Yarrowia lipolytica: one gene and its partners. The protein of the gene in region 2 purifies or fractionates together with the protein of the main gene of each other region. This does not show direct contact. Links are inferred from orthologs where the notes say so. Each region holds a gene or a part of one and is shown on either strand. Other genes may lie near its edges. The genes, in order: YALI1_B23176g, YALI1_E34621g, YALI1_F24401g and YALI1_D15114g.

What was found.
Region 1: the proteins of YALI1_E34621g (region 2) and YALI1_B23176g purify together in Saccharomyces cerevisiae (affinity purification with mass spectrometry; 3 studies listed by BioGRID). This does not show direct contact. The link is inferred for Yarrowia lipolytica from reciprocal best matches to the Saccharomyces cerevisiae genes CBC2 and YJU2.
Region 3: the proteins of YALI1_E34621g (region 2) and YALI1_F24401g purify together in Saccharomyces cerevisiae (affinity purification with mass spectrometry; 3 studies listed by BioGRID). This does not show direct contact. The link is inferred for Yarrowia lipolytica from reciprocal best matches to the Saccharomyces cerevisiae genes CBC2 and CLF1.
Region 4: the proteins of YALI1_E34621g (region 2) and YALI1_D15114g purify together in Saccharomyces cerevisiae (affinity purification with mass spectrometry, with the first as the bait; 5 studies listed by BioGRID). This does not show direct contact. The link is inferred for Yarrowia lipolytica from reciprocal best matches to the Saccharomyces cerevisiae genes CBC2 and KAP95.

The regions. Positions count from the first base shown.
Region 1 is NC_090771.1:2,315,795-2,319,289, forward strand, and holds YALI1_B23176g (uncharacterized protein), read left to right. Parts: upstream 1-1,811; coding exon 1,812-2,636; downstream 2,637-3,495. Other genes in the region: YALI1_B23201g (uncharacterized protein), read right to left, coding at 2,968-3,495. UniProt on the Saccharomyces cerevisiae protein: Part of the spliceosome which catalyzes two sequential transesterification reactions, first the excision of the non-coding intron from pre-mRNA and then the ligation of the coding exons to form the mature mRNA.
Region 2 is NC_090774.1:3,460,929-3,464,425, reverse strand, and holds YALI1_E34621g (uncharacterized protein), read left to right. Parts: upstream 1-1,752; coding exon 1,753-1,958; intron 1,959-2,256; coding exon 2,257-2,563; downstream 2,564-3,497.
Region 3 is NC_090775.1:2,437,167-2,441,819, forward strand, and holds YALI1_F24401g (uncharacterized protein), read right to left. Parts: upstream 2,944-4,653; coding exon 913-2,943; downstream 1-912. Other genes in the region: YALI1_F24359g (uncharacterized protein), read left to right, coding at 1-578; YALI1_F24408g (uncharacterized protein), read right to left, coding at 3,415-3,708; YALI1_F24413g (uncharacterized protein), read left to right, coding at 4,196-4,653. UniProt on the Saccharomyces cerevisiae protein: Involved in pre-mRNA splicing and cell cycle progression. Required for the spliceosome assembly by promoting the functional integration of the U4/U6.U5 tri-snRNP particle into the U1-, U2-dependent pre-spliceosome.
Region 4 is NC_090773.1:1,508,179-1,513,498, reverse strand, and holds YALI1_D15114g (uncharacterized protein), read left to right. Parts: upstream 1-2,005; coding exon 2,006-4,603; downstream 4,604-5,320. Other genes in the region: YALI1_D15149g (uncharacterized protein), read left to right, coding at 1-403. UniProt on the Saccharomyces cerevisiae protein: Importin beta subunit that functions in nuclear protein import through association with the importin alpha subunit, which binds to the classical nuclear localization signal (cNLS) in cargo substrates.

The DNA of each region.
Region 1 (3,495 bases), on a different chromosome or scaffold from region 2:
ACACACTCCAGACAAGAGGCATCCGATTCACACACAAGCTCCTTGTTGTTCTGAATGCACATAAGCAATAGACTTCCAACCCCCCAGATTGGTCGACGAGACTATGGTAGTAAGAGTAGTACTTGCACTCGTCGTATATGGTATCCATCTATTGTCGCTAATGTGTGAAGGGGCCACTCATGCCGCCCAAACTAATGCTTCTCTCCTTCTCCTTCTAGTGCCCTCATACACGGCTGAAGTAGTCTAAAAGACCCATACGTACAATAGCTGCTAACCAGCTAACCTGTACTTTTGGCACCACTCCCCTCAGCCGTACCTCTTACATTTTGATCATGTTCGTATCTGTGCCAGCTGCATAAATGATGGTTTCGCGGCTGCTGGTGGCTCTCAAACAAGAGGCCATCTCTTCTGACGCTGCGCAAATCCTCCAAGAACAACCTTCTTTTTGAATTTAGCACCTTTGCGTTTCCAAAGCAAGTGCACACTGAGGCATTTGAAGGGCCTATATTGGTGGGGGAGAGAGGACTGATTAAGCCATGTGCGAGAGACAGGGCATCAGCTCTTGCACGTGTCGATTAATAAGCGAGACCCGCGACGCAAGCAGTCGCCCAGCCTGTACGGCAGCAAAAGAACATTACTAGTACGCATCATCACCCGGTAGTAACGGCCAGCACGTTAAAAAAAAAAGCTGCCACTGTAAAACCTGTAACCGGGTGTATAATAGGGGCTGACCACATGGGGCGGTGTACGTTTTTCTGTCGTCCCCCTCCCCCAAGAGAAAAAAAAAAAGGTTACCAAATAGGTAAATCTATGCGGACGTTTGTACGAGTGCTGAAATTGCGGCTCCTGTATCTTGGCAGGAAAATTATTGATTTTGAAATTGTAGAGAGAAAAGAATCCAACCCTTCCATTGTCTTGATTTTCCGCTAGCGTTTTTATTCGATTTATTGGAAATATTCTCAGAAAACTATCCCTCTTTAAGCTATATTAGCGACAACTCAATTAAGCGTATGTGAGCATCTGTACCACCCTACTGTATCTCAGAGAGGTGGAGGTGGCGGAAATTCAAGAGAAAATCGAGGAAAATACGATCAATTTCAAAACACTCAACCCGGCATAAATGAGCCTCGCGAAAAAGTGCCTTGTCTTGTAAGCCCATAATACACGCCAAAACCACATCGTAAACACGTCGCAATCCCCATTCCAATTAGTTCTAGCGTCACACGTGTTAGCCAAGACAACCGCCTATAGAAGTGTACGATACTGGTACATACAGTACACTCCATTACTCGCACAATAGCGGCGGTGCCATGTTTGTCACGCCAAGGAACCGCTTTTTGAGTTCCGCGATCCGCTCTATACATGGTGTAGGGAAAGATCACGTGACGCCAAATTGGGATGTTCTCGGACTCTCGTTTTAGTGGCCGGGTTGTGCTGCTGTACTTAGCTATCATTTGGGAGAGCTACGAAGACTACTGTAAATGAAGTAAAAATATGAATAACTTAGTGAGGTCAAGTAGTAAGTGGGACAACCAGTTAAGTATATGAGGGTGAGATTCAACATCACCTTTCTACTTGTAGTCACTCAATACTACACGGATCAGCTCAAAAGAGTTTCCAGCTAAGTTTTTTTTCATTGTTGATACCCTCAGCTCAAGTTACACACCTCCGCGGTCTCTCCGACACACCCCCTTGAGACGCACATCGGATCGTACTCTCTCCTTGACAGGTTTCTGATAAAGTTTCTGTACATACTCGTACAGAAAATCAGCAGGCTCTTTTACCCTTCATCACATCATCATCAGCACAAAATGTCGGATCGAAAAGGAATAAACAAATACTATCCGCCCGACTTTGATCCCAGCAAGCTGGAGCGGCGTGCTAAGAAAGTGTCTGACTCCAAATCGGCCACCATGCCCACTGTACGGCTCATGGTGCCTTTCTCCATGCGATGTACCGCCTGTGGAGAATATATTTATAAGAGCAAAAAGTTCAACGCTCGCAAACAGGTGACTGACGAGGTGTATCTTGACGTGAAGATCATTCGCTTCTTTATCCGATGTCCTAGATGTTCAGGTGAGATCAGATTCAAGACTGACCCCAAGAACTCAGACTATCAGACCGAGTATGGAGCTGTACGAAACTACGAACCCTGGAGAGACGAAAAGAAGGTGGAGGAGACTCTGGACGAGCGGCTGGACCGGCTGGAAAAGGAAGAGAAGGAGCTGGAGGAGCTCAAGAAACAGGGAAAGGCTATGCCTGATCCGTCAAAGCTAGGAACCGCAGTTTCTACAGATGGAGACGTCATGGCAGAGATAGAGGCAAGGCAGAAGGCCAACATTGATGAGCAGGAGGGAATTGAACGGCTCGAAGAGCTCAAGGAACGTACTGCTCGTCTTAACAAGATTGGACGAGATGTGGATGTGCTGGAAGAGCTGAGAAAGAGAGATGACAAGGAAAGTGGCGTATCTGAACAGGATTTGCGTGATGATGAGATGGCTAAGGAGGTGTTTAGGAACGCGCAAGGTGAGAAGATCAAGAGAGTGGAGGTGGCAAAGGTGGATGCCTCGGTGAAGAAGGTATCCAAGCCTGTTGTCAAGATGAAGAAACGCATGAAGGGAATTGTCAGAAAGTAGAAGACGGAGGATATATTGCATCAACGCATTGTATAATACATTATGAAGTATTTGAGGCTACGAGTATTATACATCTGTAGAAGTTGCAAGTACTGCAGTACACACGGTGCATTCTGTAGCATGGCAACATAGTCAGCGGTAAGAACTCTCCACAGTTGTGTGTACAGGAGGTGTACAGGTAGTTAACTAGATCAGCCTAGTAAGAACAGCACCAGTTATCACCCCCCTCATCTACAGTTTCATCTTGAAAGCCCTTTCAACCACCACCGAACTCATAAATCATATCTCATTACTCGGGACAATAAATATATATAAATAAGCCTCCTCCTCTTTATACCACCACTCTTCGGCGCGTCTTGTGCCTATTAACGGCTCTGGACCTAGCTGGAACCCTCGTCTGAGGTACATGGGGCAACAGCATCGACTCGGGGGCATCAACCAGACAATTAATCTTAGTCATCATGACCTGAACGTCAACTTGCTCACCAAAATGCGTCAGCAGAAACTGCTGTGAGTATCTGTATACAACCAGCTGCCCATCTACTAATCCAGGAAGTGCCAGGAAGCCAGCCTGAAGAGACGTGTAGTAGAACGCAGTGATATCAACAATACTCTGAGTGGCAAAGTCAATTAAATGGGTCATACTTCCAGCCGCATTGTATAGGCCAACATAGTTACTGTAGACGGGATCCTGGCTGATATTTGTAGCGTGCACGGGTGTCCTGTTGAACAAGTACCGCATGAATTCAGGCATGACATGTTTTCCAGCCATGGCAATTTTGCCATCAAACACACACAACATCTCAGGTGTTGACGTGAGCATGTACTTGTCATTGAATAGCACCCGTTCCATCACTCC
Region 2 (3,497 bases):
TTAAGAAAACACAAGATGTGACGTCTTTCATTAGGAATTATCATTGGTCTGTAGAAAAAACCATAACCATTCGCATATCTCTTTTTCGTTTTGACAATATAGAAAACGACGGTAACGCGCACAACTGGCAACCCTCGCCACCAGATAACGCACTGTTATTCAGCTGCGAGTAAGCTCGTCGTCTCTCCACGGGCAATGTCGCAGATTGCCGTGTCCCAGCGTCTTGGCATTTCTCCACATTCCATGAATGTCATAAGTCTCGTACCCCAGACTGCTATAGGGTCAATCTTTTTCACCAGTCTACTGTATTGTTTGACAGCAAACCCACCCCTGGGAACCGACAGACAACGCTCATGAAAATAACGGAATCCCACAGCTGTGGTGCGTGCTCTCTTTTGGCGGATAGATATTCGGTCTTACATGTAGCCCTAAACCTGGAGGTTATCCGGTTCGGCAAAGCCGAAAAGTCTAGTATCAAAAGAGTGGGGAAGAGGACATGAATATGCAGCCCAGAGGGTGGGCACTATAACTACAAGAAAAGCCACGTGACCTGGTACCTGGAGTACGAGCGACGTTGCTTGAGACTCTTACACAGCCTACCTGGCCTGACCATTCATATCTCTTTTTCAGCCTTGTGGGGTTTGTTATCTTCGCTCCCTGCGTGTCTGGATTCTAGCTAATTTTTTCAACCTTGCTAATGGGGAGCGACTAATCTGCAAACTTTGTAAACTACCTTGTTCTCGTTAAAATGTGTTACCCTACTGACCATCCATGGCAAAAGGGTCCTAAATGAATGAATTACATTTCATGTCCTGTATACATTTCGGGACATGTAATCATAGCTTCCCGTATCGTGGCATATTGAAGCTGTGGATTTTCTAAGGTCACAACAATGGGCTTCTCCGGATTCCCCTACACCTTCTCCACTGTATTTCATCTTCTCTCTCCCCCAGGCACAGGCACACGCTGAATTCCATGCGGTTGCATACTTCGATAGTGTTCGTGTAAGGTATAAAATATTAATGCAGAAAAGGATGCACAACCTAATGAACCGAAGAACACGTACATCTCAGCAGTCTGTTCGGAGACCGACGAAAATACCCTGCGGCACACGACAAGAACAAGGGTAAGCCTTCCTTTGCTATCGATGGTTGCTTTTCCACATTATCTGATGTCATCTTGATATAGACAAGAGAGATCCTATTGTTCAAGAAGCTACAGTGTAAGTATGTAACATCCCTCAAGTAGCTCGACTTTAGTGCGCAATATTGGCACCAAAAACGTCAGCTGTATACATACATACACAGTTTTGTTCGCCAAGAGCGAAATGTATTGTACACACACACTCACTCACCGCCCATCTCCTTCACTCATTAACTCACACATTCACATATATTATACTCCCAAAAGTTTGACATGCCTGTGAAAAAAAACGGGGATTAGGGTGATTTAAGGCCTATTCCTATAATTACAATGCTTCTTTTTGGCGCTACAAGTACTCTATATGTACACGGTACGTACCAGTGGAAGGATCTAGCTTGTGTAAAAAGAAATTAATTGTATGCCGCCTACCGTCGGGTGTTTTAGTAATACAAAAGTTTAAGGTTTCTAGAATTATACCTAATTTTACGACCCACTGGTGAATCGAACACACGTACTGTGGGGGTACTTGTACTGATATTTTATGCACGTCGAAATCTACACTTTTTCGGCTCAGCACCAAAGTATCTCGTTTCACACTAATTACACACCATGTCTGAACCCGCGGATCTGTTCACAGCCAAGCCCATCAACTCGGCTCAGCGACTCGACGGCCCCTCTTCTTATGTCTTGCGACAAGCGCGAAGATCTCGACAGGGTGAGGAGGATCTCGCTGCTCTGGATGTCACAACCACTCTCTATGTCGGTAACCTCTCATTCTTCACAACAGAGGAGCAGATCCACGAGTTGTTCACCAAGTGAGTAACGCTCCCAATTGTTTCCCATGTGTGGATTTAGAAGCACAGGAGAGGATCTGAAGAATCAGGGACTTCGGGGATGTTAGACTGACGTCTTCAAGACCAATTCAACCACTCTACGACTCGAGGACTTCGATCGACATGTAGATTGACTGTTGAATTGTTTTCTGAGGCAGCTATCTAGAAACTGGAATATTAATTTCGGATTGCTATGTCGCTTTTCTTGGAATCACTTCTCAACTGGAATCTCCCGAGTTCAAAGCATTATGGCATATCTCCCCGGCCTATACTAACACAGAATTGCAAAGGTGAAGAAGATCATCATGGGTCTCGACCGATACCAAAAGACTCCTTGTGGATTCTGCTTCGTGGAATACTACGAGCACGACGACGCTGTCGCCTGCCTCAAATACCTGCATAAGACCAAGCTTGACGAGCGAATCATTACCATTGATCTGGATCCTGGCTTCAAGGAGGGACGACAATTTGGCCGGGGCTCCTCCGGAGGCCAGGTGCGAGATGAGTTCCGACAGGACTATGATTCCGGTCGAGGAGGATTTGGAAAGCGATGGGGAGATGATGAGCGAGGAGGAGATGATTACTGAGACTAAACCGATAGTCAGCCCAAAAAGAAAACCCTCTGGTAATTCACCAGTAGATATTGTGGGTTTTGTTGAATAATAGGATTACATGGATCGGACAGGTTGGGATCGACGGGAAACAATCCAGATGCGTGTATTGCACGTGGGTGTTTGGGACGCGCTTTGACACCGATAGGTTGATTGTTTGTTTGTTTATGATGACAGCTTATTGGTGACAGGTTTCTGATGACAGGTTCTTAATGGTAGGATTACATTTCGTTAATTGGAAGCTGACAGATGATAGGTGTCAACTGAGAAGGAACTACACTAAGGTGTCAACACGTCAATGTCAACCAAACTCGCAATTGATATGTCAAATCTGTCAGTTTGTACCTTGCCAGATATGTACACAGTTTAAAATATTATTTATATCCAACTGTCTTTGTGATTGGGGGCATGTATTAGCGGAGCCGAGCGTGGACTAATGTTCGTGGATTTCATCTCCACGGCGATAAAATACGGTGCGAGAACAACAGGAATGCAGCCGCATACCTACACGGGGCCAAGTTATCCCAAAGAGTGCCTTCTCTGAAGGGGCATCTGAGGAAAGGGTCTGTGGGAAGCCATGTGAGCCCCACTTGCAACAATACGTGAGAACCTTTGGTTGTATTGGGCATCTCAGCCAGTCTCCGATCTGAGCCCCAGTGGAGAGAGTTTCAGCTTCCATGCATGAGGACTCAGTAGAAAGAGAGAAAGCAGAGTCTCAGGGAAGAAATTTGTGCTTCATTGTTGATCACACAGCCCGGTGGAGCTTAGCGGGGACGTCGTTTGTTGTTCGGTATCGTAGAACGGTTGAAGTCGTGTCCTGAACATAGCAGAAGAGATCAAATTTAAGCCTCAGCCATTGTTTATAGAGAGCCACTCTCAATACAGCAGGTGCAAGGGCGCTATACGGAGT
Region 3 (4,653 bases), on a different chromosome or scaffold from region 2:
AGAGAGGAGGGTCGTTTGATAGATTTGACCGAGGCGGCTTCAACCAGTCCAACCAGCGAGAGCCCCAACAGCAGAGCCACCAGCAAAACATGCACAACACTAACGGAAACAACTATGACCGATACGACCGCAACTTTAACAACTCGTCCAACTCGTCGCCCGAACTCCCTCCTTGGCACAGACCCACACCTCCCTCGCAGCCTGCTGCTCCCCCGTGGCTGCGACGTGACAACTACAAAAAGCACGACAAGGTATCTGTTCAGCAGTCGATGCAGCAGTCGCCGTGGAATCGCGACACCCGTCAGCACCAGCATCAGCACCAGCCCCCCGTGCACCACCAGTCTATGTTTAATAACAACCAGTCTCCCATCGGGCCCCCTGGTATGTCGTCTTCTGGCTTTGGTGGTTACGGTGGCGCTCCTGCTGGTGTGCCCGGCATGTCTGTGCCTCCCGGACCTCCTGGTCTTTCTAAAGTTCCTCCTCCCCCTCCTCCTCCTGGGGTGCCTGGAATGGATGGAGACCAGCCCATTCGTCATCCCCCGCCTCCTCCTCCCGGAGTTATCGGGCCCCCAAAATAAAAAAACTACTAACATGTATACTAATGGATTTGGATCTTAGACTCGTATATCATTTTGTCCGTAGGCTTGTATTTTGTACAAAAAATTTTGATAAGTTTTTTATATTATAATATATATATATATTTTACTGCAATCTTTTCAAACCTTATTTAGCAGTAATTCTGAAGAGCGAGTGTCTTTGGTACATCCTGTACACACAATGCTGTACTTGTAGCTTGGTGATAGCTTGGTGATAGTGGCGCAGGGTGGAGTAACATGAATAAGGGATCGCAGCTAGTGTTATACAACGATTCTATTATACATATACAGATAAATACATAGTTGGCTCCCACAGTCAAGACTGATTCTGAAGCTTCCATTTTCGAGCATTCTCCAGGAGCTTGGAGAACGACTTGTCCTCCTCGTCGGTGGGGAAGACGTAGTCGATGTACTCCTCGAAGGTGCCATCCTCCAGCTTTCGCTTCTTCTTGACAGGAGTGGGCTTTCGCTTGTCCAAATCCGCCTTAGACTTGTCATCTCCATGCTCCTCTTCAAACTCACGCCATGATTCAAACAGAACCACTCGCTCCTCTCGCTTGTTGGCGGCCTTGAGAGCGTCCCAGGCCTCGCCAAAGATACTTCGTGCGCGTGCCTTTGCTTCTTCAGTGACCTCAATCTCGGCCTCTCCCTCGTCGTTGTATTGCAGCTCCTGGTCTTCAGCAGGAACAGTGACCTCAAACTGGGCAAACGAGATCCACACCTTGATGTGACCGTGGGTTCGATCAAGAAGCTGTCGGTAGATGGCTCGTGCTCGGTCGTAGTTCTCCTCTTCAGCCTCGAACTCAATAAACCGTTTCCACACAAGTTCAGGCATCTCCATCTCGGGCTGCGACACAGCTAGCTCAAAAATAGCACGAGCTCGCTCCTCGTCACCAAGCATCTGCTCCAGCTCCGCATACTCCATCCACGGAGCAGCAAACTCGGCAAATTTCTCCACATACTTGTCGTAGAGCTTTCGACACCGGTCAAACTCACGCAGTTTGGCCTCCAGAGCAATGTATCCCTTGTACAGCGCAGGTTTGCCCCCCGACATGCCCAGTCCTCGGCCTAGGATCTTACGAGCCTCTGGCAGATTGCCATGTCGAATCTCAAACTTGGCCCATAGTAACCACACTTTGGCGAATGTGAACTTTTTGTGTGGGATGATAGATATGCATGTTTTGTAGATTTCACCGGCCTTTTCAACCTCCTTGTTCTCAAGCTCCTCCCAGATGGCATACTTGATCCACAGAAAGATGTACCGTCTCCAAAGACGCTTGGAATGTGGGGGAACGTTAGAAACAGCACGTTCAAAGATCTCACGAATCTGATCGGCCTCAAGACCACTTTCCTGACCTAGAGTGATGTAAGAGAACCACGTATCGTAGTCTGCAGGGTCCTCCTTCAACTGATCCTCGTACTTGGATCGTCTTTTAGTGAGAACCACATTCTCAATACCCTCCTTGGCTCCATACTGTTTCTCAAAGGCCGTGTAGTCAGCATACAGCTTTGCAGACTTGCTTTTGGGCAGCTTCTCGAGTCCATAAGTGTACAGAGCTCTTGCTCTTTCGTACTCCCTATGACGAGTCTCAAAACTCGCCCATCCAGCCAGCAGACTCTCATCCAGAAAGTCCACGCCTCCATGCGCCATTTCCACCAATGTGTCGATTCCCAGAGCATACACCTCCCTGACGGTGTCTCTGTTTCCTGCCTCCATCTCAAACTTGGCCCATTTGTTCCATGCTGGTGCACCTGGATGAACAGTGACATATCGTCTCAGAATGCCCCGCGCACGGTCAAACTCACGATATCGCTTCTCCATGTTCACGTAAGCTGCCCAGGCGGTCACCGGCGGCCTCCAATGCATCCATCTCTCAAACACGGCTCTGCAGCCGGCAATGTTGCCCAGCGTCTCCTCTGTAGCCACGTATGTGAACCACAGCTTGTCGACACGCGGCAGGAGTGTGACGGCTCTGTCCAGCAGGTTTCGTGCGTGGTTGATGTTCTTCTCCTTGAGCTCGCACTGAATGTATCGGATCCAGGTGGGCACATGCGTTGGGTTGACCTCGAGAGCTCGTTCAAATACAGATCTGGCACGTGCAAACTCCCGTTGCTCCAGCTCCCACTGCGCGTACCGCATCCACTGGCCGGTGTTCAGTCGATTTCGTCGCAAGGCTCCCTCATACTCCTGTCGTTTGCGGCCTTGGTACTCTGCCAGCTCTTCCAGATCGGCAATCTGCTCTGTCTGCTGAAGAGGCGTCTCCTTTCGCTCATATGCCTCCAGCAAAATCTGCTCTGCAGAAATCTGCAACGCGGCGGGCGCTTTGTTTTTCACCCTTCCTTCCATACCGGTGTGGTGTTTCGAGGTCGTATATGGCGTCAATATTTTTTGGTGATGATTCTGCGAAGGTTTTATTTGCAGTGATAACTAAGCTTCGTCGAGTCAACATGAGATGAGCGGAACAGTGTGAACGCATCTTGACTTGTGGAAATCAGTATATATAGACATATAGACAAGTACTACCTCCAACACCTAATGCTAAGAGATACATTTGTTTTCCCGTCTGTTTTGTCGGTCTATTCTATCTTTATATCGATACTGGCGCCACAATACAGGAACAAGTATTGTATGTAACTACGTACTTACAGAACATACTGTAGCTACAGTAGCTAGTTGTATGGCAACCAAAAAGACTACAAGTATTACAAGTAGCTACTACCTATTCACATCTATACCTAATTCCACATATGTTCATCCAGTAGCACGTAGTTCACGCTGCCCCATCCCACATCCTCTAATCAGTCAATTATCAATACATTAGTTGCCGCCTCGAAGGGCCAGGACCAGATGCAGAGAGGCTCCAGCTTCAATCTTGTTCTCCGCAATGGTCTTCTCGTCCTGGAGCTGCTTTCCGGTGAAAACGAGACGCTGCTGGGCGGGAGGAATACCCTCGAGTTCCTCGATCTTCTCCTTGAGAACGGAGATCTGAGTTAGTCCTGTTTGAGTGGTGACGGGATAGGTGCGAACAGGTCCGTAAGTGAACCTTGCATTTGTAGGATCGTGATAGAGAACAGCACTTTCCCATGACTTTTTCCCCTTATCGTGTCTCATTCATGCCAACTTCATCGTGGCACGCACGCGTGACCACTTCGCAACAGTCCCCCCAGTCCCTCCATCTCTTCATACTCACCTGATCTTCGGGCTCAACGTCCATCTCAATCTGTGTTAGCTTCGTCGTCACACACTGGCCGCAACAGTGTTCCAAATGTCATTTCATCTAGGAATGTTACTGCTGGGTGTATATCGTGGTTCAGGACTCACCTCCTTTCCAATGAGTGTCTGTGTTAGCATTTCCAAGTTAGCGCACCGCAAGCACGAATCTGCGGGGAGGATGCGCACAATGAGTTCTTTCGAGTCCCCAATCATGTACCCCGCGGTCTCCCCAAATCATACTCACCTTGATCTTGATCTTCATGTTGCGTGGCTTGTATAGTGGTTGAGGTTGAGTTGCAGCTGGAACGAGTTTAAGTTGCATGCGAATATATATTTTGGCATGCACAACCACCAAAGAATATCGTAGTCTAGACACCACCCAGAAATGTCGTTTCCAACACCTTCCACGTCATCAGCCAACTATGAAGAGGTCTACGAGCCCAGCGAAGACTCCTTCATGCTCCTGGACGTGCTGGAAATGGAACAGAGCTACATCAACAGCCATCTGTCATACCCTGTGGTGACAGAGATCGGAACCGGATCAGGCATCGTCACCACCTTCATGCTGAAATCCGTGGTGCCCAAAGGCGTTTTTTTGGCTACAGATATCAGCCCCTTTGCATGCAACCAGGTTCTGGCCACGTCAAAAGAAAACAACGGCACCCAGTACCTCGAGGCGCTTCGTGGAGAACGTACCACAATGATGAGACCTCATACCATCGATCTACTGGTCTTCAACCCTCCATATGTGCCAGACGACAAGCCCGTAGAACCCTACCCGGAGACAGATGGTGACTGGGTCGATTGGGCACTTCTTGGAGGTGAAGACGGAATGCAGGTGAC
Region 4 (5,320 bases), on a different chromosome or scaffold from region 2:
GACCCGCAAGGACCAGCTGTTTGAGCATCTCAAGAGCTTCAAGCCGCATTTCTCCAAAATTGTCGCATTTGCTCCCACAGGATGGAGTTACCGACCACCCAAAAGTGCTATTCAAGCCAACGAGCAAGCCACAGACCTGCGACCAAGTTACTATGACTTTGGAGACCTCGAGTACAATGTGGAGAATCTAGATCGGAATCTGGAACGGTCTGCCATCGAGCCTGTTCAAAAGTACAACGTCCCGTACTCTGAGCATTCGTCTTTTGTCGAGCTACGAGCCTTCTGCTTGAACATGGCTGCCACCACCATCATTCCCACCGTGAACATGTCTGCTGACGAGAGTGTCCGCAGGCAGATGTACTGGCTGGAGATGTGGACCGGACAAGCGAGGGAAGGAGTCTGACGACTGTACATAACTATTTATTACAAGCGCTAACCATCTGACTAAGCCGCCTTGATGGTTACTATGCATGTAGCCCGAAGTGTGTGTCTGGTCTGTATTGTGTTTCATAGGCAGCATGTAAACATATATGGTGCAAGCATCCTACAGACTGTCGGTTAGACGGGCTGTTGCAACTTCAGTACTCGTATGACGCTCGCTAGTCGGTCAAAAATCAATTGACCATGAACCCTTTAGCGGCTGAGATAACCTCACCGGAATAATGACCTTGTCAAATAAACCGCCATCCAAGGTTCATAAGATGCCGGCATTATACATAATTACAACTTGCTGCAGGTTTGTTTTGACGCGTTACCCAGCAACTGATCACGATACAGTATACGTGCGAGAACTTGGGATTTCGACCCGCAGTGTTTGCAAGTGGTAGGAGCCCACACTGTATCTGTGTATTAATTTCCCCTTATTACAGCATGTTGCTCGGCAACAGTGGGGGCGGGGATAGCGAGAGCCCACACTGCTCCTAGTTGTGGTCATCGTCGTCATCAAAGACTGTAGGGCAGTTGTAACGACTATTCTTTAAGGTCGGTGGAGTTACTGTAGAAAGATAGGGATCATTTACTTGCAGTAGTTACCGGAACGATATCTGGATGGTGGTCCTTTACTTATGGCTGGTGTACGTGTACCGCATGCACAGACTTGTATGTGCTCTGGCGTATGGGCAAGTCGGCATCAGTATTTCTCAGTCCGGGGTTGGGGGATGCTAATTTGCCACCTGGAGCTGGCGACATTGCGGCGTGGGACGCGACTGAGTAAATGAGTCCCGTTTACATAGCTTTTTGTTACGCCATCCCGACCTCAGTAAGATTGCTGGGAGGAGGAGCTGGGGGCGTTGCTGGGACAACCGGGGGTGTGGGTGTGCTCAAATTTACAGCACTCTATTTGAAAATTGGCTTTTGGGTCTGTTTACGTCCCATCATTTTACCACTCCCTGTTTTAAACAGATTATATTCGATTCAGCCGTTTGCGAACGACCTTCAATTGGCCGAGGAATTCTTTTTGTGTGGACACTAGAGACCGACTTTCGACTTTCGGATATCGACAAATCACAGACTACGACGTGAGTACGACGGACGCCATGTGGTGAGGTGTTCAGATGGCCAAGGTGGCCGTTTGCGACCCGTCACGTCTCTGAGGGACGGGGCGAATAAGGGCATGTTGCGGGTGGCATATGTGGGAATTTCTGACTTGAACAATGTCGTTTTCCCGCTCAAATTGCCGGCTCTGGAGGTTGTAGCGGGACGCAACTTGTGTGGGGTATCTTGGAATTGATTTCTCCCTGGCTGGCCAAGGAGACAACTGCTGGGTTAACGGGATCGCGCTGGATAGTTGTTTTCGTGGCAGCCATCAGTTTGATTTATGACGATCTTGTCTCATTAATCGATTGATGACGTGTGTGGTTTGGTCTAGAATACCGCAAACCAGACGTGGGGTGCACGAGACAGACATCAGCGGCAGAATCGAAAACACGAGCGCACTAAATTTGCACCCGCAACGTTGCCATTGAAACGACACACACACAACCTATCTAGACCCCTACTAACCCAGATGGAAATCGCACCCATTCTTCACGACGCCTTCCAGGGCGCCACGCCTCAGGTGCGAAACGAGGCCAACTCCAAGCTGGCCGACGCATACCAAAACTACTACGGTGATGTGATGATGGCCCTCGCCAACTGCATCAGCACTCAGGATACCCAGATACCCGATGAAATCCGAGTGCTTGCTGGTATTGCCATCAAGAACAACTTGACATCCAAGGACCAGGAGGTCAAGCAGGAGCAGGCCAACAAGTGGTTGGCTGCCGATGGATCCGTTACAGATCAGATCAAGAGCATTCTGTTGGAGGTTCTGAAGAGCACTAACAACCAGGTGGCTTCAGCAGCAGCCCAGGCCGTGGCCGCCATTGCGGAGATTGATCTGCCCCAGGGACGATGGTCCAGTCTCATGACCACCCTGGTGGAGAACACCAAGGACGAGCAGCCCAGTCACATCAAGATGGCCGCTCTGCAGTCTATTGGTTTCATCTGCGAGCGAGCAGACCGAAACAATGCTGGTGTGGTTTCCCAGGCATCAGGCATTCTTACTGCCATTGTGCAGGCGGCACAGTCCAAGGAGTCGGACCAGAACGTGCGGCTCAAGGCCATTGAGGCACTGGGCGACTCTCTGGATTTCATCAGAGACAACTTTGCCCGGGACGGTGAGCGAAACTGCATCATGGTTGTCGTGTGCGAAGCCACCCAGAGCGATTCTGCCAAGCTGCGGGAAGTCAGCTACGGCACAATGTCTCGAATCATGACCAAATACTACCAGTTCATGGAACTGTACATGAAGCAGGCTCTGTTTGGCGTTACCGTCAAGGGCATGCAGGATTCCGACGACTCGGTGGCATGCATGGCTGTGGAGTTCTGGTCGTCCGTATGCGAGATTGAGGACAAGAACCAGCGGACCGGCGAGGAGTGCTTTGGCTTCGCCAAGGTGGCTGCCCCCAAGGTTCTGCCCATTCTCTTGGAGCTGCTCAACCGGCAGAACGAGTACGATGACGACGAGGACTGGAGTGTTAGCATGGCTGCTGCCGCCTGTCTGCAGCTGTTCGCGCAGACCATTGGTAACGACGTGGTGCCTCTGACTCTGCAGTTTGTCGAGCAGAACATTGGAAATACCACCAGCTGGAGAAACCGGGAGGCCGCTGTCATGGCCTTTGGTTCTATTCTGGACGGTCCTGACAACGCCCATCTGGCCGATCTCATCAAGCAGGCTCTAGAGCCCATTCTCAACCTGATGAATGACGACTCTCTGCAGGTCAAGGACACCGTGGCGTGGTGTCTGGGCCGAATCTCCGATCTGGTCATCAACGCCATTGACGAGCAAGTCCATCTGCCCGTCATCATGAATACCCTGCTCAAGGGACTGCAGGACGAGCCCAAGGTCATCACCAACTGTTGCTGGACTATCATGAACATTTTCGAGCAGCTTGGCCACGGCGGCGTCAACCAGGAGACCACCGTCGTCTCCCCCTACTACCCCCAGGTGCTGCCTGCTCTGTTGAACGCCGCTTCTCGAAACGACAACGAGAACAACGCCCGAACCGCTGCTTACGAGGCTCTGTCGACCCTTGTTGTTGTGTGTGCCAACGATTGCATTGAAGCCGTGCTTGAGCTGTCGGGCGAGGTTGTCACTCGTCTGGAGACCACTCTGGAGATGCAGCAGCAGATTGTCGGCATGGACGACCGAATCAACCTGGAGGAGCTGCAGATCAACCTGCTCGGTCTGCTGACCAACATCATCCGTCGAACTGACAAGCTGGTGCTGCCCGCATCCGACCGGCTTATGACTCTGTTCCTGAACCTGCTGCAGAACAAGCTTCCCAACTCGCTCATCGAGGAGGACGTGTTCATTGCTATTGGAGCTGTCGCCGATGCCAACGGTGAGGGCTTTATGAAGTTCATGGAGTCTCTCAACCCCTTCCTTCTGCGCGCTCTGGAAGATCCTTCTCTCATTGTGTGCAACACTGCAGTCGGTCTGGTGGCCGACGTGTCCAACGCTCTGGGCCCTGCCATTGACCAGTTCTCCGACCAGTACATGCAGCTGTTTGTCACCGATTTGCAAAACCCCAAGGCCCAACAGGTCATCAAGCCCTCGATTCTGTCGTGCTTTGGAGACATCGCGTCAAGCATTGGCCCCAAGTTTGAGCGGTACTTTTCTTTTGTCTTCCCTGTGATTGAGCAGGCGTGCCAGCTGGATGTGCCTGACCAGTACTCCGGCTATGCCGTGTCCGAGGAGTTCCTTGACTTTGTCGCCAACCTGCGTGAGCGAATCATCGACGCATTTGTCGGCATTGTCACCGGTCTTCGAGACTACCCTGCTCTGTTTGCTCCCTACGTCCCCACTCTGTTCAACTTCCTGTCCAAGGTGGCCGTGGACCCTCTGCTCGCTCCTGTGGAGTCTGTGGCTCGGTCCGTTGTGGGTATCATTGGTGATGTTGCCACCATGTATCCCGGTGGAGACTTCAAGGAGGCATACACTAAGCCATGGGTGCTGGAGTTCATTCGACGAACTCGAAGCGATCCCGAGTTCACTGACGAGACCAAGATTACCGCTCGATGGGCACGTGAGCAGCAGAAGCGACAGCTGGGCGAGAAATAGGCTGTCTGAGATGAGGGAACAAGTTTTTGCACAAAAAATAGCATGATACCGGAAAAATAGAAAACAAGCGTTTGAGTATGACTACTTTGTAGTTATAGGTTGGTGAGTATATCGCCAATATACAGTGTAGCAGGTGGCCATGATTTAGATCTACCCACCCCCCTGATTGTTTGCCTGTCTGCATCTGTAGCACGTGAAGATCTTGCTCGATAACCATGTGAAAAAAAAAAAAAAGGTACAACCATATGTATTGTAGCTGTGTGTATGTAGAATGGGGCAACTTTGTGGGGTTGTATATATATTTTAGGTTCCATCGACAGAACGAATACGGCTGGATAAGTGTGTGATATATGTTTGTAGTTGCAACTTGTCCAAGAATCGACTTGCCAGGCCGGGTTGTGCTGTCATCAGTGTTTCATCTACTGTAGTCGACAGCGGTACTAAAAGCGGGTTAGACTCAACTAATTCAGTTAGCTTTAGTCACTACGTTTACCCCACACCAAGGCCCAAAGGCCTAAAGGCCAAAAGAGAGCCATGTGGGTTTGGCAAATCTAGTTTGAGGACACCCATGCGCCGCCAAACTCTCCAACCAATAGAGAAGGGAGTAATGTCAGAATGGGTTTATATACAGGGCAAGCTTATGAGACGGAGGCTTCAACACGGCATAGACGAGGCATGTTCGTGGAGCGGACTCCTGCGCCAATGTGCCAGTTCTCG